4 linked regions of the Saccharomyces cerevisiae S288C genome follow. Changing the gene in region 3 together with the main gene of any one other region gives a genetic interaction. Each region holds a gene or a part of one and is shown on either strand. Other genes may lie near its edges. The genes, in order: VAN1, APS3, AIM26 and PSP2.

Region 1 (8,994 bases), on a different chromosome or scaffold from region 3:
CTCGTCATCAGACGTCGAGGTCATTATGCACTCCCCGAGCGATCCTGAATACGCTTTAAAATCACAAACTCTAAGAAGCTCGAGTCAGACCGTCATTAATAGTAAGAGACCAGTAAAGATAGAAGACGAGGAAGAAGCCGTAGGAATGTCACAGCTCAATTATAGGTCGTCATTAAGACAAGCTCCTCCAAGAGCTCCCTCAACTTTGTCATATAATCACTCGAAGAACAACGAAACGCCAATGCAAGATATTTTCACAAATGGCGAAACAGCAAATAACAGAAAGAAGAAGAGAGGATCTTTTGCAAGGCATAGAACGATACCAGGATCTGACGTCATGGCCCAATACCTTGCACAAGTGCAACATTCGACATTTATGTATGCAGCCAATATTTTGGGCGCCTCTGCGGAAGACAACACGCATCCTGACGAGTAGTATAGCTGTGCTGAGCCTGAAGTATAATGCATATCCATCGGACTATTTAGACAAAGCCCAAGGAAGCCTAAGGCGGCCTGCCAAGGTGTTTCTCCCTTTTTTTCTCCGATTTCTTTGTATAAACTAAATAATATAGTGATTACTAATGGAATGGCGGTATTATGCACCTAACCTGTTCATTCTGCCACAGATTACGTAAGCGATTTATTGCCGGCACTTGTTGTCTTAATGACCGAGTCACCAATGTGGAACGATAATTTTCTCTGACTCAAACCTGTTAATTTTTTTCTACTTCGTTTCGTTAGCGACGACGTCAAGCCGCAGGATCCTGTCTGCCTTGACCTCTTCTCTACCTTCAGAACTTACACTTTTCAGGTAAGATGACCTTTATATAAAAGTTGACACTATTACAGTTGTTTATAAACGTCTGAAGAATGAGACGTTTTTATAAAATGAATAAAATGCATATTCTAAGTTTAAAACAACATTTTCAAAGTGTACGATTGTAAAAAGAGAGGCAATTAGAGAATCTCAAACAGGTAATAATAATGGGCAATCAGTCATTAGTTGTGCTTACGGAAAGTAAGGGTGAGTATGAGAATGAGACAGAACTACCTGTTAAAAAATCGTCACGAGATAATAATATCGGAGAATCTTTAACAGCAACAGCTTTTACGCAGTCTGAAGATGAAATGGTAGATAGCAATCAGAAATGGCAGAACCCAAACTATTTTAAATATGCATGGCAAGAATATCTTTTTATATTCACATGCATGATAAGTCAGCTTCTAAATCAAGCAGGCACTACACAGACTCTTTCGATCATGAATATTCTTTCGGACAGTTTTGGCTCAGAAGGAAACTCAAAGTCATGGCTGATGGCATCTTTTCCGCTAGTTTCAGGCTCATTTATTTTGATTAGTGGCAGACTAGGTGACATATACGGATTAAAAAAAATGTTGTTAGTAGGATATGTTCTGGTTATTATATGGTCTTTGATTTGTGGGATTACCAAGTATTCTGGTAGCGATACTTTTTTTATTATTAGTAGAGCCTTCCAAGGGCTAGGGATTGCATTTGTTTTACCTAATGTGCTGGGAATAATTGGTAATATATATGTAGGTGGTACTTTTCGTAAAAACATCGTGATTAGTTTTGTTGGTGCGATGGCCCCTATTGGAGCAACTTTAGGTTGTCTTTTTGCAGGACTGATCGGTACCGAGGACCCAAAACAATGGCCATGGGCATTCTACGCGTATAGCATAGCCGCTTTCATTAATTTTGTGCTCTCCATATATGCCATTCCGAGTACTATACCAACAAATATTCATCATTTTTCTATGGATTGGATTGGTTCTGTTTTGGGCGTGATAGGTCTCATTTTATTAAATTTTGTGTGGAACCAAGCTCCTATATCGGGTTGGAACCAGGCTTACATCATCGTAATTTTAATCATTTCTGTGATTTTTCTTGTCGTTTTCATCATTTATGAGATTCGATTTGCCAAGACTCCACTATTGCCGCGCGCAGTTATAAAGGATCGTCATATGATTCAAATTATGCTGGCTTTATTCTTTGGATGGGGCTCTTTTGGCATCTTTACGTTTTATTATTTCCAATTTCAATTAAATATAAGGCAGTACACGGCATTATGGGCTGGTGGAACTTACTTTATGTTTTTAATTTGGGGTATTATTGCCGCCTTACTGGTAGGATTTACTATCAAGAATGTGTCTCCATCAGTGTTTTTGTTCTTTTCTATGGTAGCATTCAATGTGGGCTCAATAATGGCAAGTGTTACACCGGTTCACGAGACATACTTTCGTACTCAGTTAGGAACGATGATAATTTTAAGTTTTGGGATGGATCTTTCATTTCCTGCTTCTTCCATTATCTTTAGTGATAATTTACCGATGGAGTACCAAGGCATGGCTGGGTCATTGGTGAATACTGTTGTCAATTACTCCATGTCCTTGTGTCTCGGTATGGGTGCCACAGTAGAGACACAGGTCAATTCAGACGGAAAGCATCTTTTGAAAGGCTATAGAGGTGCTCAGTACCTTGGGATAGGATTGGCAAGTTTAGCATGCATGATTAGCGGGCTTTACATGGTCGAAAGCTTCATAAAAGGCCGCAGGGCAAGAGCTGCTGCAGAATACGATTGCACTGTGGCTTAGCGGAAAGCGGTTATTAAGGTAAATAGATAGAAATACACCGCTGTCATGCGATTATATAGACATGGGGCATTTAGACACTGAAAGTCTTCATATCTCAACATGCAACTAGTAATAGTACAATTTTTAGTACCCTTTAATCTTTATTGTTCGCTCCCTAATAACGAAGCCTTGAACTGTAACCAGATCCCAGGTTACCCCTTATCCTTAAGAGGTCTTTTATTTACTCTACATAATATATATTTTTCAATCCATTGAAGAGGATTAAAAGAAGAAAAATCAATACCGAACAAAAAAACAAAACGAAATAAAACAAAACAAAAAATTAAATTAAATTAAATTAATATTAAATGTCATCATGATTCTTACTCTGATTGTCTTCTCTTCTCTCTTTCCCTTGACGCAATTTCCTTCAAATCGTCATCGCTCGGTTCATAAATATGCCAAATAGTATAATGCGGTAAACCACCAACCCTGTACCCCATTTTCTTTGCCATTTTACCAAATGCTTCTGTTTCTGCATGATTTTCAAAAGTAAATGCAGGAAACTGTACCCCGTTTCTAAATATTTTGGCCTTCGCCAAAATAGAAACTCCCCCTACACCGTCCAAGTCCACCGCTTCATTTGGATCACCTTCTGCATCTCTGATATAGGCTAAGTGAACTCTCCACGTAGGATATTCTGCATAGCCTTCTACAATAACATCATCTTCGTCAAGAGTCTTTGCCAATGCTAGTGCCTCCTGAGATTCCATCCAAGAATTCAAATCATATGGTTGTTCAGTTCCCAAAAATGTAGGTAGTGGTCTCCAAACGTTAGGGACGATAACATCGTAGTTTTTGCTCATCAAATCTTGAATGACTGAACCAGGGCACAGCTCTACATCAGCATCTCTCCAATAAACCCATGAGTGGTAAGGTTTCAAAGCATTGGCAGTTAACCAATTTCTTGCCCTCCCCATTAGTTTTCGTCTTATACCTTGAACCTTAACGGCATGTCTGTCACTAAAACCTTGTCCAATTACTTGGCCAAAATCCTTTTGGAAAATTTGTACTGATCTAAATGGCTTGTCATAATTTTCATGGAATGGTGGTGAAAATGCCTGGTGGACACGGTTGATATAACCTTCGTCCATATATTTAAGATATAATTTATCGGTGCCTTTTGTTTGCGAATCAATGACAGCGTCAATCTCTTGAAAAATCTGAGACAACGTGCCATTTTGTAAGTGCCTAGAATACGCTATTAAAGCATCCAACGTAGTGTCACCTTCTGAGCAATCACTGACTAAAAAGGCCAGATCAATCAGCTCGTGTGGATAGGTTAGGTTCATTAAATGCTTGAACATTAATGGCAATACATCCGCAGCGTTTCTTAGTGGAATGCATAAAAGAATGTGATCACGTGTTTCCAATCCATTCGGAGCACCTTCAAAATTCGACAGGTCGTACTCCTCAACAGTGGAATCAAAAAGCATGTTGAGTTCCCTTTGGTATTTTTCATCATCCTTGGGAGTCAACACTTCTGAACCAAATTGTGATATTAGATAATGTTGCACACCATCATCAAATTTTGAAATCACTTCAGGATCGATATCCTCAAAATCATAGTCGTAATATTCTTCATCTTCTAGGTCGATAGTCTTGTAATTTTCGGAGGATTTTGAGGAACCCAACAACGACCTACCATTTTGCGTGGATACACCAATGCCCATTCCGGAGAGAAATGATATAAAGAGATATAACGACAGAACGGCGATAATAATAAGAGATGTGATACTCACCGTAAGCTGGAATTTAGACGGTGTGGAGCGCGGCTGGTACCTGTATTTGCCCTTTAATGAGTTGGAGTTATGCTCTGAGCGTTTGTCCTTGATGTTGTTCGAGCTACCGTTCCTTGAAATGGGCAGGCTTAGTCCATTGTCCATGGCTTTCTTCTTTATATTTGACCTTAAATTAAAAAACATGCCCATTTTTTTGTGTTAATTGGTAGGTCAACAAGCTCAAATGACTGTTACTGCACCCTTACGTCTACTTCTTTCACGTTACCATTTACTAATTTACAAGACGTAAACTTTCTTTGATTCTAAATATTTCAAGCCTTGTTTCGGTATAGTCGCCGAAGAACGAAAAAAAAAAAAAAAAAAAATTCCTCTCCGGAGATAAATTGAATACGTATTATTATATTAGGGACAAACACTGGTTCACTGAAAGCAGTTGTTTACATAGTTATATCGTGATCTGTGGCTATATCTGCAGGAGGAGATGTCGGGGCGTTTTCATTAGGCGTCGAATGAGGAGAGTGACTTGTAGTAGCATCGATATTGGTTGTGTTATGTGCTACAGGTGTAGTATTTGTAGTATCTTGCGCTGTCATTGTTGGCGGTTCCGATTCCGCGACCAGGTTCTCCGCAGGCATACTCGACATTTCATTCTCATCTTCACTGCTCCCTAAGATGCCAAATAAGTTTATGTCATCGTCCTCATCCTCGGCGTTTGTGTTGATAACTATGGTAGAGTTGTTTAATGCATTAGGGGTGGTCGTGTCGTCTGCAGCGTCCCTTGCGTGCTCGTTATTTAGTAGAAGCTCAAGATCATGGCCTTCATCTTGTTCCCTCTTTGTTCGTTGTGAAATAAGCTCTTCTTGCCGACGTTTTAGCGATTTTGCTCTTTCTTCCTTGGCCATTCGTATTTTTTCCTTCTTCAACTTCTGGACCTTAGGTAAATTGTGCATGAATAGTGTCATAGACTTACGAAATTGCAATTCTATGGTTTTTTGTATGGTTTTGTGAGACTGGTGAGGACTCTCTGGAAGGTAGAGAGTTTCAGAAATTTTCAAGAATGGATTTTTTGTTCTTTTCAACTGATTCACTTCAAATTTCGTGACACGTTCTCTCGCCAATTCCACTCTATACTTCGCATACTGCTCGATATTGTTTTCATTGAAGGACTTTTCAGTTATGGTTGGTTTCCTTTCTTCCAGCGCGTTGCCCCAAATCTCCAATTGTTGCTCGATAGCGTCCTCATCGTCTAAACCCGGCGGTTGCGGGGTATTTGACGCTGATGATATGTGGGAGAGACTTTTGTTCAAGTTCAATAGTGCCTTTTCAGACTCTTGGCTTTCTTTTACTATTTCTTTCTTGATGGTTTTTAGATCAGTAATTGGATGGTTGAACTCAGGTGTAAACTTATAGGTATGGTCAGGCGGAAAGTTGGGCAGCCAACTCGGTATCTGTTTTTCCAGTGGGTTAGAGGGAGGCAGCAAAACGTTGATCTCGTTCTGTTGCTCCTCGATATTATTCAATTCGTCCTCTTCATCTTCTTCGTTATGCGGTAAAGCAGCAAGAGACGACCAGCTCATCAATTTTTCATATTCCGTGGAATGCTTCGATTTGATGAATTCTGAGGCCTGAAACTGCTGATAAAGGGAGGGCGCATCCAGGTTAAACTCTCGAAGCAACAATTTCAAATCTGCTTGAGAAGCTTGCGACCTTCTTTGTAAAAGTGTTAAATTGTGCAGGTTCCGAAACATGCCGTCCATTTGGACGGTCACGAGGTTGACCAGCTCATCCAATGCAAAGTTTGAAATGCAGATGTTCAACGAATTCAACTGGAAAAGTACTGTTTTCTTTAGAATTTCAACTACGGGAGCATCTATTTCCAAGTGACTAATTTCCGTCAAATCCGGTAGGTTCCTCAGCTGAACTATGGTACTTTGGGTACCGGTACCACTTTCTGACGTTTTGGAAGTCATTGCCCTTTATGAGTCCCTCAATTACACGTTTGTTTGCTTGCTTGCCTCTCTCTCCATTGCTTTTACTCTCTTTTTTAAAGAGTTCAAGATTTTCTACATAAAAGCATCGGGTAACACTCCCATATACACCATTTGTGCTTAAGCTGGCTTCTACCAGTCGCGTTTCAAGCGACTTTATTGATCGCATCAGCGTAGAACAAGAACAGAACTATGTATGCAAACAGGACTAATCATCTTCAGTTATCTTACTTTAGTTTGCAACTATTTATATCATGTTTTCTTTTCAACTTCTTTTTTTTTTTTTCGTTTATGAAGCCGATGCTAATGCATCAATTTTTTTTTTTTGGTGATGAGTTTTGAAAGAAAATGAAAAAAAAAAAATTTCTATTATTGTCAGTGGAGTTTTTGAACAGATCACCTTGTGAATCTACAAACTGTCCTAAAGTATATTGGAGCAGGACATTGGGTGATGGCGAAAACTTTGGCACAAGGAAGGAAACCTGGAAGCGGCAGAAAGCCCGGAAAAGGGAAGACGTTGAGAGAGGGAAGAAAGCCTGGCAGTGGTAGGAGGAGGAGGCAAGATACTGGGGGTAAAGAGACCGACGGGTCTCAGCAAGATCAGGAGTCGCGTCTTATTAGTTCCAGGGACATGGAAGCTGTGGACGCACTGAGAGAGTTGACGCACAGCCCGTCGTCTCACTCAGCTCATAATTCATCAGCAGCACCACCGCCGCATGCAGCAGCGGCGTCAACTTCATTGCCTCCATCTCTGGATTATACCCATCAGTCATTCATGGATCAACAACAACAACAGCAGCAGCAGCAGCAGCAACAACTACTACAGCAACAGAGAGTGGACGTCGTTCCGCCCAAGCCGTTCATCACCCACAAGATCCTGTTATCTTCAACGGGAAACTCTGGCGGCCACGTGAATTCAAATTACAACGCCGACCACAGCATTAATCATAATTCAAACCACAACCTTAACAGCAACGTGAACGTGAACATGAACTTTACTATAAATGGGAGCAATCAAGACCCGTCATCTTCTTTCCTGATGGGGCCCTACAACTACTTACAGCGGCCTTTCATTGTGAAACCATATCTTGATCTGTCCACAAGCACAGCAGCATCAAATCAGCCACGGACGCAACCATCGCCGGCAGCACATATCACTAAGAATTCCGATTCTACAGAGAAAAACGCAACCATATGACATTCATTTCCAGCATACCACTAAAACATTCGTATATGCCACATAATAACTAGTTGAGAAAACCATAGATATTTATATTTATATGTATTTGTACTTCTTTGAGCAATGTATATTTAAGACTGATCTCAACTTCAGCAACTGTTCAAATTCACTGTTTTTCCTAATTAAGCACAACATGAAAAACTAGAATTTTAGAAAGAAAAGGAAAAAGAATACCAGATGGTAGTTAATTTCTCACAAAAGCACTGCCAGGTAAAGGTATACAGCAAGGATGGACTCTCTTGAAGCTAGATTACAATTCATTCAGGTCCTGAAGAACCTGCAAAAGACGCTGCACAAGACCAGAGACTCTATCACATCATCGTCGACCACCACACCACCGTCATCGCAACAAAAGCTGAACAATGACCCTATACAGTTCTACTTGAGAAACTACAGACATCACTACGAGGACTTCCACCAATGTTTGTTCGATACAACCATGAAGATGGACCCACTAGATAGACTGGACGTAGTGATATACTATGTTAGAATAATAAGAAACTTATATCCGCATAGCCATTCCAATACCAATGTTACAAAAGTGTTAAACGAAGTGCTACTCATGGACATAGACTTGGTTTTTGAGCTTTGTCTGCCCTGCCAGGACTGGAAATCCCTCACGAATCAAGCCACCTGTAAAGAGCTATTCCTTGACTTATCCAAACTAATCCATTACGACGCCACCAGCGTCACGCACACACCATCAGACACCACACTCATAGACGCTACTACCTGGTACAGTGTCAAGACAGAGAGGACTACAAAGGACTATAAAGAATCATTGCAACGAACGGAGTCTCTGCTTAAGGACAGAGACTTGAAGAAATTGGCTTTCTTTCAGCAGTTCAATTCCGATACAACTGCGATCAACCCGGACTTACAGACGCAGCCAACCAATGCAAACATTTTGTTGCACAGGATGGAAGCAGACAGGGAACTGCACAAGAGGTCGAAAGAGACAAGTTGGTACATCGAAAGGCCCTCCAACGATATACTGGATGAATCCGAATTTAAAAGCTTGTGGACGCATTTTGAAACTACTGATTCCGGATTTGATAAGGACGATTACAAAAATATCAAGGCTTTAAATGACATTGCGAAGGCATCTTACATATATTAGTACCATGACGTTATATATATATCTGTGAAGAGAATCCGTATCTGTATTATATATACGTATATACGTATCAATGCGCGTACAAAATGAACTTGTCTTTTTCTTATCTCGATTTCAGGAAAAGCAAACTATTCAAGGTGAAACGGCGGCTAATTTTCCTCTAAGTTACTTTTATTGTAGTCCTCAACATGTGCAGACGAATAAACTTAACACGGTTTGCAGAGTGTGTTGTTGAGTATAAAACAGTCAATTTCT
Region 2 (2,680 bases), on a different chromosome or scaffold from region 3:
GTGGATTTTGCCATTTCTAAAGAGCAACTGAAAGACTGCATTTCAAGGATCAAAAATGCCTGTCTGCATAGGATGAATTGACTCCTTTTAAATTATTCTCGCTGGATTGCTATTTCTATGCATACTCCTTGAATTACATATACCAATCTGCATATATTATAGGTACATATTAATATAGAAATGTATCCTATTTTACATTGTTTCTATAACTTTTACATTATCAGAACTTATTTTTTTCCTGTCAAAAAGAAAGAAAACTCATTCTCTAGACACAGCGAGATCTTACTTTTCCTAACGGTGTGACCATATTGTACGTACAATATTATCTATGTTTTATGACCAGATCTAGTTTTAAACAGAATTTTAAAGGGAGGGTGCCTAATTTTGTATTATATATTAAAAAAGCTGGGAAATGCCCGGCTCAGCTAATTTTCTTCAAGCCGGTTTTACGTGCAGATCTTGACGAACGAAAATAACCATCATCCGATTAATTTGTTTGTTTATTGCCCCGTTGCCCATTGTGCAAATCCGCCTTGAGCAAACGCTTGTAGTGCGCTTCCAAATCCAGTGGACGTTAGTCTTCCAATTTTACTATCTGTGGACTCGGCAGCTTTGTTGAGTTCGTCAACAGAAGCAACTATTCTGTTCACATTTGTTTCAATGACCATGCCCCCCTGCACGATTTCTTCTAATACACTTTCCAAAGTTTGCCAGTTAAAAATCAAATCAAGTTCATTGACTTCAGTAAAACAACGGTCCAATGATTCCACAAAAGTTTGGATCAGATCTAATATGGCCAGTTCTGATTCTTGATCATCCACGATGAAAGTGAAATATAGTGTAGCGTAGTTTTTATAGATGATTTGAATATCTTCATTGTTTACCTCATCATTATTATTTTCATTGCTTAACAGAAGCGATGGTGGCGTGACTAAAAAAGAACTTTGAAAATCGCTATTCCTTTGAGAAATCAATTCATATACTTGCTCTAATAGCAGTTTTTGCTTTGGAAGGTCGACCGGCGTGTAGAATTTCACTAATCTTGGTTGGCATTTCTTATTGACTATACCAAAAATGATGAATTATGTTAGTAATGTATAATTTTGGCAGAAGAAAAGACCCTTGAGAAATCTTACATACATATTAGAACTGCATGAATCATTGTGTAACGTTATATGTGTTCTGGCCTCTGTAACCCAGATCTGGTATAGTTACAACAGAAATGATATTGTTCCAGTGGACTATTTAAAAAAAATATACTCCTACAACGTAAGAGAAGAAATATAAAAAAGAAATGCGCAAGCCCGGAATCGAACCGGGGGCCCAACGATGGCAACGTTGGATTTTACCACTAAACCACTTGCGCTTACTTTTGATATGAATCTTTCATTCATACTCAATATTAATAAGCAAGATATTTTTTGAAATGAAGAACCTTAATCGAGCCATCGTATTCAAAAAGAAAGAAAAAAGACTGAATGAGAACTATTTTTTTATTGCCTTATAGAGAATTACTTGAGACTTTTTTTTTTTGCCTAAAATATATGACTTTATTTTCGCTTGGCCTTTCTTACCTCGTTTTGTGATTACTCATTACTTACATCAGCGTAAGCTTTCCATATCTATAACATTTATGAAAGTGGAACTCCTCATACTCAAAAGTTATTGCTATCCATTTATATTGTGATCTTACCATTAAGATATATAGCAGATCATAATGGCTTGATTCTAATACTCCTCGAGTATGACCATGCAACGGTTCAAAATCCCGGGTTGTAAATATTTCTTTTATCACGAAACATGAGTGACAACCACTTAGACTCGAAAGTGACGTTCTTGTATTTGCACATTCGATGATAAATATTTAAAACGTATATGTAGATACATAGTGGACAGCAAGAGAGATGCATGGTTGGCCCATTTCTCAGCCTTCTGTTTGTTCTCTTCTTAATTCAAATGGAAACTTGTTGATCTCGAGTATCTTGTTAATTGTTTGAACGTTTATACTGTCATTGAACGATTCTACCCAATTTTTGCCTTTCGTGCCTTTTTTTGGGGTCAAGAACCCATCCCAATCCAAATTGGCAACCTTTTGAACGCTTCTATTGACCTCGTCATTAAATTCTCCTAACATATCTTTATCAGGAAATATGCTAACAATGTATAAATAATAGCCGTCCTTTGCGGTTCCCACAGTACTTCTACCAAGGTTATCTAAAAAACTTTTCTTTGGCTTGCCCTTCATGCTAGCAGGATTAATATTTGGAGATCTGTTAAGATTAACGTACTCTCGAATGGCCTTATCACCATTTAGTTTACACCACTCCTTGATAAACGTTGTTTTCACCTTTAATTTTAAATCTCGTCTCAAGTACGCAAATTCAGAGGGAATACTGTTTCTATGTCTATTTGTAAGCCGTGTCATCGCTGTTTGAATTTTGCTTAGTTCGACTTCATTAGCTTTTGATATCCTAGTTTCATTGAAATATTCTTTGTCCTTGTTGAAAACCTTCCCATTTAAATAAAACTTCTTATTGGATTTTACCGTTATTGCTGGTTTACTTTTTCTAAAACAAGACATAAAATGGTCTTCAGGGAAGTAATGAAGTTGAAAGAATCTACTAGTGTATACCAATGAGTTAGGGGAAAATTTTTTTCCAATCGTCACATAGGCTTGGAT
Region 3 (7,593 bases):
CGTTCAACTTCAAAACAGCCAATTTGGAAAGGTTTGAGACATTCTCGGGCTGCTGAGAAATAATTTCATACTTAACCACTTCATCCGGGTTGGGAGACTTGATCTTGTCCCATTCCAAGGTGGTTCTAGAAGACTTCTCTACCAAATATCTCCTGAAAAGCGTGAAAAACGAATCCAGTTCGTTCTCAAACTTAGCGCGAGCAGCATCGTCAAGTTTACTAGAGTCCGCCAACTTGTTTAAGGCGTTTCTCATTTGTGAGGCAGCAACGCTGTTTGTGTTGCTCTCGAATGCATAAGTGGAATGTGTTTTGGTGTGCTTCTTAGTGGACATTATTATGTTATGGTACACTTGCTGTGGAAGTTATATTATATAATCGGAAGAGGACTAGGCCTTTTAACGTTGCTGATGTGGAAAGAACCAGAAATTGAATCTCCAACTCCTAAAACCGTAACTTCAATCTCATGGTACCTGCTGGAAGAACTTTGTTGTTTGTTTAGATTTATATACTCAATCCAAAACAGGGAAAGGAAATGCAAAAACGGGCCGAGCCCAAACAAAAGAGGAAGCGCGTCAGGCTGTTCGAGAAGGGGCGGGGGAAGGGGATCAGGTTACAAGACGCTGTACAGGGATCTGTGTGAGAACAAACCGACACCAGAACTTTGGACTTTGCAAGCGCCGGAATTGAATCTGTAGCAATGGCAATGGCAATAGTGATGGCACCAGGTGTAACAGCAAGCCGGCGGTAGCAACGTGCGTAATAAGGACTTCTGCCCCTGAAAAAGTATGCCAAAAGTAGGAGAAAGAAAGACCCCTTTAGCTGTGAAAGAAGAAGGTGCTCCCCGCCCATTGTCTGCATGCGCCCCTGAGCTTGGCGACTCTCGAATACCGTGGAAGATGGTGGAGCACCAGAGTAAAAGGCCGTGCGCACTCTGACAAGGCAGTATTGTTACAGGTTAAAACAGCTAGTGTGTATATGTGTAAGTAAGTATTATTTATGTGTTTTACTTAAATTGGTCATTCATTGCATGGTAGTTCTTTACGCGAATTTCTGCCTGAGGAGAAGGGAGAACCTGACCTACAGGAGAAGGGAGCATAGTTACCTGTCAATACCAGCCTAACTCGGAATCGTCCAACAGCTTCCAGCCGATACTAACGAAATTTTCCAGGGCAACGTTCTCAAGCCTGGGTTCCTCTGCGGCTACTGGCGCCGTTGTCGGTTGTGTACCAGAAGTACGGCGTTCATCAAGCAATGTCTTCATGACTGATGACTCGCGGAGGCCTTGGCCCGACTTTGGCCACATGACGTCGTTTCTGGTCGTGGACGAAAGTCCTCCTGTCAGGGACATTATGGGCTTATTAAGCTCGTGCTCGAAGATCTTGAATGGCTTGATCATTGTCAGCACGCTGGTGATTTGAACTACTTCATTCATCGAGTTTGACAGCTTCATGACCAGGTCCTGCGACTTCTTGGTGTCCTGAGTATTCTGCGTTGTAGTTGCCGTCATCATAATGCTAATGAGTGATGTAGGCATCTGCTTGACCAGTTCAGTGATGTTGTAGACCTCGTGCAGGATAGCAATAGCAAAGGGGGAAATTATCCCCCGGCAAAGGTCTGAAAGGATAGTGCCAGTGTCTTGTTTCAGGCCTAGTAATTTCTTGTAAAAATCTGGATTCCCCTCCGATGGAGGTGCAGCGCTAAGGTTCCCAGCGACTGGAGACGAGCCCATAGCAGATGGGCCCTCTTGCACTGTCGGATTATTAGCGGGTGGGTTCGGTGGTCTATAATTAAAATCAATACTGTTCGTAGGATTCAGTCTTAATATCAACGTCAATACTTGCAAAATTATTGATATCAATGAGCACAGAGAGTCTGCTATTTTCGAACTCAAATCCAATGTCAAATCTGAATAGACTCCTGCTTCTGAATCGTATAATGATAATAAGCAATTGATGAAATTGTGTTTGCCAATTAATAGCTTGCAAAATAACTGTGCTACGGATAGAGGTTGAGTTTCCACATATTCCGATAAGAGTGAAGACGAGTTCGTAATATCGAACCCAGGCTTCCTATTGCCGTTCATTGATATTCTATTCCTGGTAAGCTCACTCATCAATTCACCCAATTTCAAGCTTTGCAAGACGCTTTTCAGTCTCAATTGGCTTTGTTCCAGGCACCATTTTGAGCCCAAATCATTAGAAAAAAATCTTTCTGTAGAACCTTGGATGGAAATGTTTAATAGCTTGGGACCACCGAATGCACAGCTTTGTAAAGAATCAAACACTGAAAGCAAAACGTATAATCTTTTAAACAACACTGAATAGTGACTAATGTTTTCGTCCATGGAATTTGGTGAATTGGATGGATTCATATGCCCAGCACTTTCAGATCCAATTTCAAATTCGGACGTTTTTGTATTCCCATTACCAGTGCTGACCTCTTCATCAACTGGAGGCTTCACATCATTTATATCCGGCTCCGGAAATAATAGAAGTTTGTATAATTTAAATTCGTTAAAAATTGTCACCGACATTCCAAGTACAAATGAGTTATCGTATCCAACAAATGCCAAAATGTAATTTAAAAGAATAAAAGTAGATAAATAAATGACTTTGATCTTCGGCGAAATTTGGTCGTTGTTTTCTCTGAATTTGGGATGAATATCCACGATTTTTTGGAAACATTCATTGAGGGCGGCAATAAAAACGCTTTGCACTTCCAAAGTATCCTGTACTTCATTATGTGAATCACGTCTTGTTTTTTCAGCATCATCCCTTGCCGTGGCTGTAGTGAACCCAGCTTTGTTGTTGTCATTACTTGGCGACAAAGCCACGCCAACAATATTATCGAAAAACTTGCCACCTGGCTTTTGTTTCAGAGCAACACGAACTAACAATTCCAATGAATTTCTAAACCACAAAATAACATATGAATTGACTTCGTGTATATTGGAAATTGGCTGTGTGTTAACTAACAATAAGTCACTGGTCAAGGTCGTTTTGTTTAAAGGTATGATCGGAAATCCTACATGTATGAACTCATAGTAGGTGTCTATTAGATCTACATCGGATATCTGTCCATACGCGATAGTTGATGAAGTGGTCATTGGGTGAGCAGAATCTTTCGATGTTATAGATATAGATGAATCTCTCTTTGGTTTTGTCTTCTTAGATACGTAACTTTTTCTGCGTTTTTTTGTACTTCTCTGTGGCGTTGATCCAGGGCTGGATGCTTCCAAAGCCGCTGGTGTAGTTACAGATTCTTGGGAATGTTGAGATGTATCCTTAGAAGAACCGCTATTATTGCTGCCATTATTGTTGTTAATTTCACCATTATTATTCTCATTACCATTCAGCCTGTCCGTGGATAATGTTACTGATACGGGGGCTGATTGTCGCCTTTTATTTCCATCCAACTCAGATGAAAATTGCGGTACCTGCTGTCCTTGAGGTCTTTGTGTTTGCTGTGCAACATTTACGGGGTTTGTAGATGTGCTAGTAAACATGGCAGGTGCACTGGGAGACATAGCCTCGCTGGCGACTGATCCTTGTCTAGAATGAAAACCATTAGCAGCGAACTGGCCAAAAGATGATATCGATGGGTTGTACGGTTGCTGCTGGGAAAATTGAGAATACGAGTATAGGTTCTGTCCTTGTTGCAACTTTTGTTGGTGTGCTTGTGGCTGCGATTGTTGCTGAGGTGGGGGAAGCTGAGGCTGGCCACCTAGTAAAAGAGAATTTGAAGTATTTCGTAGCAAAGAAGGTATGGAACTTGATCTTCTTGTCTGTTCCCCATTATGATCATCAGTAGGAGCTAGTAAACCAGAAGTTCTTATAAAGGACCAATAACCACCACTACCAGAGGCACTGCCTGAGCCGGTGACACTTCCGTTTGCATTTCCAGAATCATTAGTATGTTTATTCGTTATGGGAGACTGTTGAACGGTGTTATAAGACAACTGCTCGTTGGGATTTAATGTTCTTACCGATATATCACTTTGCAAAGAATCGATAGATCCTTTTCTTTGGTGTTGAAACTCATGGTAGGGCACTTTCCAAAACTGCTGTTGGCCAATATTACCCGCGGGCATAGTTGATTGTATCGCTGGATTTTGGAAACTAGGAGGAATGCCACCAGCCTGGGGAATGTACTGTGTCAGTGGGGGCAATAAAACTGAATTAGATCTCGAAGGGGTACTTGGAACTGTGTTACTGTTTATACCGTTGTCGCCGCTATTGCCCGTATTATTATTCAGGGTATTGTTACTATTATCAAACGTATTATACGACCTTGAGTTATTGTGGTCTTGTATTTCGTTAGTCCTTGGATGGCTGGTGCTCCTCGTATAGCCTTTCGAGGGTCCCCTTTTCAAAGGAACCCTATCAAAACTACAACGGTCTCCATTCCTTTGGCAGTTTGAGCAGACCCCCTTTTCATCTTTGTAGTCACATTTAATCTTCTTTTTACGACACTGATCGCAGGCCCGGGAGGCCTTTGTTCTTTTCTTTATTGCGTGACTTGCTGCTGCTGCGGAGTCCATATCGTCGGGACTATTGGATGTACCACCGTTCTTGGTGGAGTCACTGGAGTTAGTCGAAACAGTGTTCAGCTCGTTCATAATTTGAAATATATTGGAGTTTGAGAGAAGAGTACAGCTTCTTGACAAATGTGAGAATCGAAGAAGCGTGTTATTATTGCACCAATGAAAATTGCGGGAACGGTTCTGCACAATATAGTACAAGGGAGAGGCGATTTCCAACGAAGTCTATGGTGAAAGAGCAGAATATGTTGGATGGACAATACTCCAGTCTCAAAACTCCAAGCACGGTTCCTAACTGATGTGTTCTTATTTTGACTTTTTTTATTTTTTGAATTTTTACTAGTTGCTACTATTTTTTTTTCCTGTTTTTCCTTAAAAGGTCCCTTCCCATAATCGTCTTGCTTAGTTAGCTACATGAAAAAAAAGGAAAAAACTAAAGGAAAATGCACAAAGCAGCGACATATTTTATGAATCCAATACCTGCCATTTCAAGAAGCTCGGATTATTGGTGAGGTGACGTAGCTTTTGTTTGATGTACTGTTGATTATTCGTCTCTGGTGCTCATAAGCCACGTCACAGAAAACGATAAACGATGTTAGCGCACATGCTACATGACTTGCCAATCGTGGTAAAGCTTCTGATGAAAGAACCAACTTGCGGAAGCGTGCCCATAAAATGGTCGTGCGGCTTAACGAGCAATCACACCGAATAAAGTGATCCCGTAAAATGATATTCTACTCGGATGATCCGTTCCCTAGGAAGCGTAAGACAAGTAACTACAAATGTTGTCGCATGTATATTCTATTACTCAGAGCGTTTGACAAAAAAATCTTCTCCCTTTCATTAAAAACGAATCGAAGAGCTGGGTTTATAGCATTGTCACTAAGGACGTGGTCTCATCATAAACAAATAGAATATACATGTTATGTTACATAGGAAAGACCGAAAAAGCCAGAGAAAGCTAATAAGGTTAGCACTGATGCAGCGCGCAACCTTACGTTATCTGGCTTCGTTGTTCATCCTTGAACAAAGGGAATTCCTCACTTCTGGTCTTCCTGCGTCTCTTCTCATAAACAAGTACACATGAAAAGTCTATGGACCAATTTTCTCTTCCATTTTATAGTCGATGAACAGAAACTTTTCGCTTGTTTCGGTTTGATATAAATCATCTTATCACCGAAAAAAAAAAAACTCCAGCGAGCGGCTAAATAAATACAAAACGAAAAAGTTAGGTCTAGAGTATAGCATAGCTTTGGTGACTACAGTTATAAACAGGTAAAAGCACGCACAAATAAATGAAAAGAAACGTGCAACGCATTTATTTATTTATTTATTTATATTCATATTTATATTCATATTCATATTCACATCGCATTGAACAGAAGTGCATATGGTTCATAATTTCTTTCTTTTCGCTTGTAAACATTTCGTGACTGCCCTCGAAGAAACTATTTGTCTCATCACCTAATCAAATCTGCTGGAGGTAGCGTTATTTTGTTGGAGAGGGAGACACTGGCCCGTGGCCTTGGCTATGGTTATTTACATTATCGTGTCCTTCTTCATCATCAGTAAAATTCAAATTGAGGTCATCCTCGTCTATGCCACGCTCACCAGTGATGATACTTGCGTCATCTTGATCGTCAAACGATTGCAAATCGCCCAAGTCAAAGTCCGCGACATTTTCTGGGTCTGTGGGTAGTTGTTGGGATGCGGCTAGCATGTATGAAGTATCTGTTGGTCTCCATAAGAACGCGATGGTAACGAAAACAATGAAATACACTAACGTAGGCCAGAAATCAGTAACGAAGAACCTTGACCTCCAGTTCTTCTCAATCATATCAATAGTGTTCATGCCAACGTAAATAAATGACGAAACTATACTACCAGCTAGTACACTCAAAAAGGACGCATAAATGATGTATAGTAGCTTCTTGTACATGTTCAATTTTACGATCTGCCTTTGCTCTTTCAAATAGATAACTGTTTTTGTCATGGATCTAATAATCATGTAGTAAAATATGATTAATGCAAGCGCCATAGGAATCAAGGTGATCAAGATTAGTGGAGATGGTGCCTCCATGTCGGTCAAATAACTTTGGATCAAAAATCCAATGCAAATTGCATAAGTTAACGCACCATACATTTGGCAACGCCTCATCAACGTTTTATTCAACTTAGGGTACACGATACCGTAGCCCAAAGCGATAATCAATAATAGGAAAAATGAAAATGTAACTTTACCAGCCGTCAATATCGACAAGAACACCATATAAACTTTTATTCCCGCAGTATCACCTTTTTCATTTTTCAAATCATAGTAAGCCCATACAAATATGGTTTCTGCGGTTAAAAATACAAAAAAGGCCAGCAAATACTTTTGTAATGGTAACAATTCATGCTTGTGCTTCCAGAAGGCGAAGGAATATAACGCCATCGCCACAACGTATGCGACCGCCAAAAGACCATATAGTGGCAATTTGTTGATCTCGGTGCCCGCAAGCTGACCATAAGCATTCCTGAAATTCACCACAGCGTTGAACTTGGTAGACGTCGATGATCTGAACGCAGTAACACAATAAAATCCGGTTTCTTTTATTGGGTATCTAGTATCATGAAGGCCGACCTCATTTTGAGAAAACGTCATGATTGGATTGGCCAAAGATCTATTTGTGGAAGTATATGGATCATATACAACATCTTGAACAATAAACTCATCACGATTCTCCTCTTCACAAATCCCGATATCAATTGCATAATCATCACAAATATAATACATTTCTTCATCCGGCAATTGCACACCTAAGTGCTCAAAGTCTTGGAAATCATAGATTGCAACGACTAAGCCTGGATCAGACTCATCACTCAATCCACTTATTTTTTTAAGATTGAATGATATAAACGGGTCTATTTTGCCCTTCCAATCTTCTTTGGAATACATACCTGCGCATACTTGATAATTCTTTTGACTTATCTTTTCCTTGTTAGCTTTTACGAACACTAGAAGGTAGCATAAGAAGCAGGTGAATAATTGGAAAGGTCGGCAAAACTGATATA
Region 4 (8,791 bases), on a different chromosome or scaffold from region 3:
CTTAAAGATTACATCACCAAACATTGCTAGGGGTATCGTTATGCTCAATCCTACGGTGACGGTTAAAGGACTCGTTAGTAACATAGCCTTTGCCCAACAAAAGTCGCTAACAAATGTGATGAGACAATTGACGAAGATTATTACCACAACTTTAGGATCTTTGGGCAGAGAGAATGGTTCCCAGCCAAAAAAGTCCAATACAATCAGTGATGGCCATAGAAAAAGTAAATTAAAGAGACCAACAAAGCCAAAAAAAATCTTCATGTTAACACGAGTCTCATCTCCGACTTCTCTCTTCAATAAAGTACTGTAGACACCGTAAAGTACAGCACCTGCAAGTGCCAACAAGTTGCCTATCAGAACTTGCACGGCATCGTTATCATCACCACTAACGTCCGCGATATGGCGTTGGTAGCGCTGATGAGAATCTGATTTGGTGACCATGATTATGCCTACAAAGGAAATGAACGACCCGAGTACTTTGGACTTGCTCAACGATTCAACATGACAAATAGCACCTATGAACAAGGTGAAAAAGGAAGAAGTAGTGGAGAGGATTGTCTGCGATGCCACCGATGTGAATGCCAGCGAGGCATTGGTCACAAGGTTAGCTGTGAACCAAAGTATGCAGAACTCAGCACTTAACTTGATTGTTTCATATAACGTTAGCCTCTTCTTTTGGTTGGCATGCGTGCCTGCTTCAAGGTTTGTAAGCAGTGGGCTAGTCATATCAACCGAGCGATTGCTATCACTACCAGTACCTTCTTCCTCCATAATTAGTTCGCGGTGAACGTTTGCACGGCCTGTGTCCTTGTAATTCACCACAACGGCCTTTGCAGTTGGAAAAAGATAAAAGATAAAGGCGGCAGTATTGGTGTACGTGATAAAGAATGGTTTTCTATACGAGTCATCCTCGAAGATCAAATTTATCAGGAAGGACGATAAAACCCACAAAATAATGACTAGACCCAACATCAGAAGACCCAAGGTCCACCTCTTATTAAAGGACGTTTGATCCTTCGACACCATGGCTCTGTTGAACTTTTATCTGAGAGAGGAAAAAAAGGAAGGAAAAAAAAGAAGAAACTTCCTTTATTTATTTGTCTTAACCACAACACACAATGCAATAAGATGCAATATAATATCAAAGCCAATATCTTATGTTGCTGATCCTGAGAAGGAATATATACAATTTATGTAGTAAAATACCTTTTCTTCTGCGAGTTGCAAGAAATAGAAAAGACTCCGATTGCGCATCGCCAGAATAAAATTTCACAACCACACTTTTTGGCTGAACTTTTTATTACCTGATTAAACAGAGAGAGAAAAGGTAGAGGTCAAAATTTTTTAAGCAAAACTAAAAAAGATGCAAAATCACGTGCTGAAAATCTAACATAAGGGTTAAGATTAGAGTTTTATAGGACTTGTTTTGTAATATTTCAAATACGAGCTAACCCTACTGATTTCAATTAGGTCTAATTTAGGGTTGAGCTGCACTGAAATTTCGGAAATTTTGGGTTATTTTAAATGAGACAGAAGAACTACAGAGATACGTTCTTCAGACTTTAAAGCTTATCTCCACAAAGAATTGGTCAAGAAATCATCCTAGAAAAACACGTTTGCTCACTCGATCTTAATCACATAGAGTGCTGGAACGGGAAGAAATGGGTATGTGCCTCGGTTTTTCTCATTAACCCCTTTTGATCCATAACGGTCCTCTTTTGTTTCCTTTTTTTTTTTTGTTTTAGTATTTTATGTTTACTATTTTCTTCTGTTTCAGTCATACGTAGGAATTATTGCATGAAAGAGGATATAATATTCATGTGGATTTTTAAGAAAATAGATCAAGTTTAAATAGCCACTAACAATTGAACAATGCTCTCTCTTGGCCTCTTTTCTTCTTTTTTATCGTTTCTCTAAAAATCAAGCTGATTAGACATGGTCTTGCAATGTTTTTGCTTTCTCTAATCAGCTTGGTTTTCCGCAAAGAAGAGAAAGTCACGGAATTGTCTACATATGTTTCTATTCAGGAACAAATAATACATCTAATAATAATGGCACTACGAAGAAAATGTCCCTAGAAGAATTTCTAGGGAACGACACTTTAGGCGAGTCAGTATGGGATGAGGAAGATATTAATTTGGATGCTATAAGCAATACTACGAATATTGACATCTTGAAACAAACCAAGGCAGGCGAACATCAACGTGATGGTCACCAACAGCACCCACACGGTGGTCATGGACCCATGAACAGATCACGTTTTTCTAATGCAGGGCCTTTTGGTGGTGGTAGCATGGGGGACTTTGCAAATCATCACCACCCGCTGCAGCATCAGCAAGGTCCTCCTTATATTGTGAAGTTTTCTGATTTACCACCGAGATTTTCCAACTTTGACATTGAAGATCTTTTTCAAGCAAAGTTTACCAAGTTTATTAAGTTCAAACTGTTTTGGGAGATAAATAAAAATCCAAGTATTTCTACTTTGAAATCGGGGTCAATCTTTGATCAAAATTTCAAACGTGACTCGAAGGTAGCATTTGTCGAGTTATATACATCCCGTGATATGGACAAAATTTTGAACTATTGGACCACTCCTTTGAAGGAAATTTACCACATTACAACAGCGCCCGCAGAATTCGAAGATTTTAAGGATTACAGCACGAAGGTGAAATTATTAACAGACCCTAAAGACGATGCTGGCAAACCATTCATTACTAAGACTCAGCGGTCAAAATCCAATCCTTTTGGAAGTGCTAAACCGGTTGATACGCAATCGAAGATTTTGGACATTGAAGAAAAAATGGAAAATTTACACGTGGAAGATACAACAACCCTGAGGGCATCATTAATCCCTAGTAGTGATTCTATGGCAACCACTGCAACAGGCAGCAAGATCACAATCTTGAAAAAGCAGACACCTACAGAGGAGGAATCACATTCTGCAACCCCAACTCCCAAACCTTTAAGTTACTCTGAAGTAGTTGAGAGATCTGTGGTCAATGAAACTTCCAAGAAAGGAACTCCATTAAGCAAGCTTGACTCACCAGCTCTTGAACTACAATCTAAGCCCGATAAATCGGACGAGTTCAAAGGTGGCGATGAACAAGGCTTTGAGAAAGGTGGCGACGATAAAGCTCAATTAGATGTCTCAAATGATAAAGATAAAGGTTCAGAAACCGATGTTGATAAACAGTTCACTTTCAAGAATGTGGAAAGGGAACATAGTATGAGCAGAACCAAATATAACGGAAACCATAATAACAATAATGGCAATTTTAGAGGGAGTAATAGATATCGTGGAGGCCCCAATGGCAGCAGTTATAAAGGTGGGCATAACAATCGTGGTAATCGCGGCGGATATCGTGGTGGCAGCTCATACAACAACAACAACAACAACACTAATGATAATAATAATAATAATAATAATAGTAGTAGTAATAATAATAACGGTTCAAGATATCATGATCGACAAAACAATGAAGAAGGGTTAACCTCGGATTCATCTTTAGATGCCTCAGGAAATAAAAAGAATGATTTCACGAACTCAACATCCAATACACAACAATATTCCATTTTCAAACCAGCAAGTGGGTTCCTTGGCCAAGGTAATAATGATTCTATAAGGAACAATGGACGCGGTAACTATAACAGCAGCGGTATGAATGGAGGTTCGAGAGGAAGAGGATTTGGCAGAGGAAGGGGATTTGGCAGAGGCGCATATAACAATCGAGGTAGTCGTGGTGGACGTGGAAGCAGCGGTAACTACTCCAACTACAATAACAGAACAACAGACATGCCTTTATGAGTCATGTACTGACCCATTAATTTTCTTTTCTCTTTTTTTTTTTTTTTTTTTTTTTTCCTCTATTTCCTTTTTTTGTTCTAGTCGGTTACGCAGTTCTGAGTAATGTAATATAGCGTTCCTTTTCCTCTCAGATTTTTTTGACCTTATTTTGTTTCCACTTTTTACTACTTATGCTGCTTTTTGTCCATTTCCCCTTCAGTTGTTTTGAATTTTTTTTTTAAAAAAAATTCGTCTTTCTGATTAATCAATTTTGATTATATATTTTCTCTTGATTAGTTCACAATTTTTATAGGCCCTTATTTCTTAAAGAAGTTTTATGAAGTTTCGTAAGTATTGGGGGGGTTGAAAATAATCTCTCACGTTATACGCAATAAAAAATTAAAATTAAGGAGAACCAATCTATAGAAACGAACCATTGAATTTAGCTATATGACTATATACCATTACGTAATTTATATAAACAGCTTAATATAGCGAAAGCAAAGTAGAACGAAATTTCGGAGAGTTCTAGATTGTATAGAGCGAATGAGCATTCAATACACACGCGAAGGCAGTAGGCGATGAAAGGAAGTTTTTTAATGTCATTAAGAAAAAGATAGGGAACTTCTATTTCCTGTCTTTCATATATATATATATATATATATATATATATATGTGCATATGTACATCGTTGAGTTGTTCATGAAATAATGAATATAATACTTCTGGATTTTTTAGTCAGTAAATTTACTGTTGAGATTCGTTATCATTTGTGATGCTTGTTTCCATCATTTGCTGTTGTTGATTAGCCAGTTTTCTTTCCTGTCTACCTTTCTTCATAACTTGCTTCAAAGCTGCACTATCTAGTGGATCTAACAATTCAAAAGAGCACAATAAACCTTCGCTGACGCTCATTACAGCCCCCCAATTATCAAATTCACCACAATAATTTGGCGCGGAAAACACCGTAACGAGACTTCTATCATTGAAAAATTCATAACCGTCTTCCACAACCATGTGAGCTCTACAAACCAAATCAAACCCAAACTTGTTCAAGAATTTGTTAATTGCCACCTTATTATAACAGTAACTTACACCACGTTCGTTATCCTCCCATTCGTTGGGTGAATCTGTGGGATCGGACCACAAAAGATCATTAATTAAGCCAAAATCTGGTACATCAGTAGGCCTAACTACATGTCTGATTTCATCCATAGAATTTAAAACTGGCGACAATCCACCATGAACACAAAAAATCTTTCCGGCTACGATAGCAGCTAATGGTAATGTATTAAAAGTATCGATGAATGTCTTCCAGATCTTGATGTTACAACGACGTTTACATTCATCATAAAATCCATAAACCCTTGTGACGTTAGCACATTCATGGTTGCCTCTCAATAAAAAGAAATTTTCAGGGTATTTTATTTTGTAACAAAACAATAGTAAAATAGTCTCCAGTGACTGTTTACCACGGTCCACATAATCACCTAGGAATAAATAGTTCGAGGATGGTGGGAACCCACATTTGGTAAAAAGCCTTAAGAGATCCCCATATTGGCCATGAACGTCGCCTACAATTTTTACAGGAGGTGATAATTCTAATAAGGAAGGTTGAGAAAGAAAGATTTCACGAGCCTTGATGCAAATCTGTAAAATTTCATTGTTCTTCAAACAAACATTTTTTGTTCTCTTAGCAGCGTAGCCCGCATCCAGTAATTTTTGGATAGTTTCATCAATATCGATAGGCTTTTTGAATTTTTTTGGAGCGTTTTTGTTTCCGGAAGATTGCATTATATCATTAAATTCCTCATTCGGATCTTTTTTGCTATCTGTTATATTATTATTTTTATCATTAACATTTTCCATTGATGCATGGATATTACTCAATTGAGATGAATTTTCAATGTCATCATCATTGCTGATGTGTTTGCTCGGGTAAATATCGCGACTTGAATGGTGATTCAATGAGGAGGTTGAATTAGAGGTAAAGTATTCACCAGAGTGATCTGTTAGCTTGGACAAGCCTGGAGAGTTTAATGGGGTGCTGTATGCGGTATTACCATCTGATCCAAACGAAGATTTCCTACTGTGTAGCGAAGATGCATGAGAATTTGACCGGGTTAATGCCTGAACGAGATAATTCTCCTGATTGTTAGAGGAGTATGATCCATTGTTAGGCTCTTCATGGGTCACATCTGATTTCCTTCTTGACACTGATCCGCTTCTTATACTGGACGGACGAGAATTCGAAGATCTAGAAAACCTTTTAGTGTGCGAGATGTCGTTGTCTTTATCATCATTGTCATCATCGGTTAAGGCGTTCTCATAATAGGTAGATGAGTATGAAGATTTATGCTTGGATACGTGTGTGCTACTATTGTTTGTTTTTAAAATGGGTGACTTGGGTTCCATTTGGATCATTGAAGGTGGTAAATCAGCAGCAGCCTTAGTATTATAACTTGATCTTCTAGAAGTAGAAGGCCTCTTAGTAGAGGATGATGAAGGAGTAGTTAACAATTCGTTTTGAGAATTTGAATGCGAGTGTGAGCTAGATGGGAAATGGTAACGATTCGTGTGAGAGCTATGTCGTTGGTGATTAACCTCAAGATTGGGCTTTGATGGAGTGGAGGGATCAGGGACGTTTGAATTAGTATTCGTAGTGGACGAAGAAGGAAGAGATCGCCTTGATCTTGAAGATTTATTTGATTTTGCAGACTTCACAGAATGGGAAGTCTCGGTTCTCGACACTTGAGGACGAGGATTTCTCGAGGAGGAATTCGAATGTGAATCCTTTTTCGAAGATTTTGAACTTGAATTACCCATTTTGAAAAGGAAGGAAAGATAAGCAGAGAGTGGTTGATTTGTTGTTTTATGACAAAGCCTCTAGGGGAAAAGAAGCGACTATAACGATGAAATAAAAATAAAACGATAAAGAAAAGTATAATCAAATGTATTCCAAAGAAGTACTTTTATATATAATCTTTATATTTAACTTGAAAGAAAAAGATTTAACATGTATTGCCAAAACAAACAAAACTAATAATGGAAGCTATTGTATTGTGCTTTTATGTTACCCACCTGCCAATGGTTCACAAGAGAAAGCTGATTAACAGAATTAGAAGATCTGCAGTAATCGTTTTCTTTTTTTTTTTTTCATTAATTTATATGCTATCCTTTTAAAAATAGACATGTCATTTCAAACGACATGTTAAAAATTATATATATGTTTATATATAGATTGATATATGTTGGAGCCGTTGGACAATTATGGGCAGCTATCTGAACATGGATCCCTGCCCTTCTCCTTGAGTTCTCCAGTAAGCGTTAGGCAAAGTGTCCGACTGCAGACGGTAGAGTCTCCACGCCTCACGGATGTGTTCGGGCAATAAGGGACTGTTGTTATATTTCTCGATGCTTACATCTAGTTTGTTGAATTGGAGGACGAGCTTATTGTACTGCTCGATGAGTTGTAGCTTCAAGTCCTGTGAATTATGGTCTGATTGCTGTAAGGATTTGGACTGTAGCAACGAGTTGCCCAGCGTAGTTTCGCGCTTGTCTACTTCTTCATCGTCGAAGTAGAAATCAGGTTCGTCTTCGGGAACGCTATCGGATTGATAATCTTGCTTGTATTGCTGGTTTTCTATGATGGAGAAAGTCAATTTTTTTAGATATTTTTTCAATTTATAGCCTATTTTGGTCCTCTTATCAAACTCTATGCACATTTGACTTGTCAACCACTTATTCTTCACAATCATGGCCAATTCGATTATCTCACCAGCGTATATTTTTCCCACCGCTTGCAGAAAAACACGAATATTTTCACTTATAGTTTGATTAGCTACTGTGCTAGCCAGTTTTTTGACCTGGGTTTTGTTTAGGGATGTTCTATGGAAAACTTCAAACCGATTAGTTTGATCTTTATCCAAGTTGGTTACCAAGAGCTTGAATTGTTCGTCCTGCGCAAGTTTTTCATTTTCATCTTCGTTGGTATTGGTGTCTTCGTAATTGCTATTTTGTGTTTGCTGTTGTAAAATGTCTTGTGGAAAGATCAGGTTTTCTGGGACTTTGTTGATAGAGTCCGGGTCTTGCTGATTTATCCTGGTTTTCTGGTATTTGTATTTTGGATATTTATTTAATTGGTTGTTGATTGATGTACCACCCGTTCGCAGGTTTTGCAATTTCCACGTAACGTAGTCCTGGTCCTCACTGATGACTTGGTCAATCATTTGTTTTGTGGAAAAATAGTTTGCTATTGTCAGTATTGGCGGATAGTTCACTTTCGGGATGGTGTCCAAAGGACCTTGAGGTTCGGTCATCGTTGCGCTGTTGAAGCTCAAACTTACTTTGTGCTCTTCATTTATATGGATAATTATCTCTATATACCTCTTCTTGATTTTTCAATTTCTTTCAACTTTTCAGTCGAAGAAATGGGAATAAGAGAAAAAATTCGGTAATGAACTGAACAGAGATGAGGTCTCGAAGAGCCAAGAAATAAAAGGTTAAGAACCAACATGGAGATAAACCAAGCGGCTGAAAAAGAACAGGAGTATGTTCACAAAGTGTATAATGAGATAGCTCCGCATTTCTCGCAAACTAGATATAAGCCATGGCCCATAGTGACTCAGTTCTTGAAGACTCGCCCAATGGGTTCCATCGGTATCGACGTCGGGTGTGGCAATGGAAAGTACCTCGGAGTGAACCCTGATATATATATTATCGGTTCAGATCGCTCAGATGGTCTTATTGAGTGCGCCAGAGGAATAAACCCATCGTACAACTTACTGGTGGCAGACGGGCTGAACTTACCACACAAAAACGAAACATTTGACTTCGCCATCTCAATTGCTGTAGTGCATCACTGGTCTACAAGGGAGAGACGTGTTGAGGTGATCAGGCACGTTCTATCGAAGCTACGTCAGGGCGGACAAGCATTAATATATTGTTGGGCTCTAGAACAGGGCAGCTCCCGTAGAGGTTACCATGAAGGTATGGAGCAAGATG

What was found.
Region 1: mutations in AIM26 (region 3) and VAN1 together harm fitness more than expected from each alone (negative genetic interaction), as found in Saccharomyces cerevisiae (one large-scale study listed by BioGRID).
Region 2: mutations in AIM26 (region 3) and APS3 together harm fitness more than expected from each alone (negative genetic interaction), as found in Saccharomyces cerevisiae (one large-scale study listed by BioGRID).
Region 4: mutations in AIM26 (region 3) and PSP2 together harm fitness more than expected from each alone (negative genetic interaction), as found in Saccharomyces cerevisiae (one large-scale study listed by BioGRID).

What each region holds. Positions count from the first base shown.
Region 1 is NC_001145.3:37,212-46,205, forward strand, and holds VAN1 (Van1p), read right to left. Parts: upstream 4,584-8,994; coding exon 2,976-4,583; downstream 1-2,975. Other genes in the region: NAB6 (Nab6p), read left to right, coding at 1-436; ATR1 (borate transporter), read left to right, coding at 985-2,613; TAF8 (Taf8p), read right to left, coding at 4,832-6,364; DAT1 (Dat1p), read left to right, coding at 6,834-7,580; CTK3 (Ctk3p), read left to right, coding at 7,852-8,742. UniProt on the Saccharomyces cerevisiae protein: Involved in regulation of the phosphorylation of a number of proteins, some of which appear to be important in cell growth control.
Region 2 is NC_001142.9:395,431-398,110, forward strand, and holds APS3 (Aps3p), read right to left. Parts: upstream 1,163-2,680; coding exon 1,141-1,162; intron 1,064-1,140; coding exon 501-1,063; downstream 1-500. Other genes in the region: RRN7 (Rrn7p), read left to right, coding at 1-81; PET130 (Pet130p), read right to left, coding at 1,925-2,680. UniProt on the Saccharomyces cerevisiae protein: Part of the AP-3 complex, an adaptor-related complex which is not clathrin-associated. The complex is associated with the Golgi region as well as more peripheral structures.
Region 3 is NC_001143.9:362,629-370,221, reverse strand, and holds AIM26 (Aim26p), read right to left. Parts: upstream 858-7,593; coding exon 501-857; downstream 1-500. Other genes in the region: UGP1 (UTP glucose-1-phosphate uridylyltransferase), read right to left, coding at 1-331; RGT1 (Rgt1p), read right to left, coding at 1,105-4,617; PTM1 (Ptm1p), read right to left, coding at 6,029-7,593. UniProt on the Saccharomyces cerevisiae protein: Involved in selective mitochondria autophagy (mitophagy).
Region 4 is NC_001145.3:234,924-243,714, forward strand, and holds PSP2 (Psp2p), read left to right. Parts: upstream 1-1,664; coding exon 1,665-1,668; intron 1,669-2,030; coding exon 2,031-3,808; downstream 3,809-8,791. Other genes in the region: YML018C (uncharacterized protein), read right to left, coding at 1-1,029; PPZ1 (salt homeostasis regulator), read right to left, coding at 4,535-6,613; TATA-binding protein-associated factor TAF11, read right to left, coding at 7,066-8,106; TRM9 (tRNA (carboxymethyluridine(34)-5-O)-methyltransferase), read left to right, coding at 8,302-8,791. UniProt on the Saccharomyces cerevisiae protein: DNA polymerase alpha mutation suppressor. Suppressor of group II intron splicing defects of a mutation in MRS2. May play a role in mitochondrial mRNA splicing.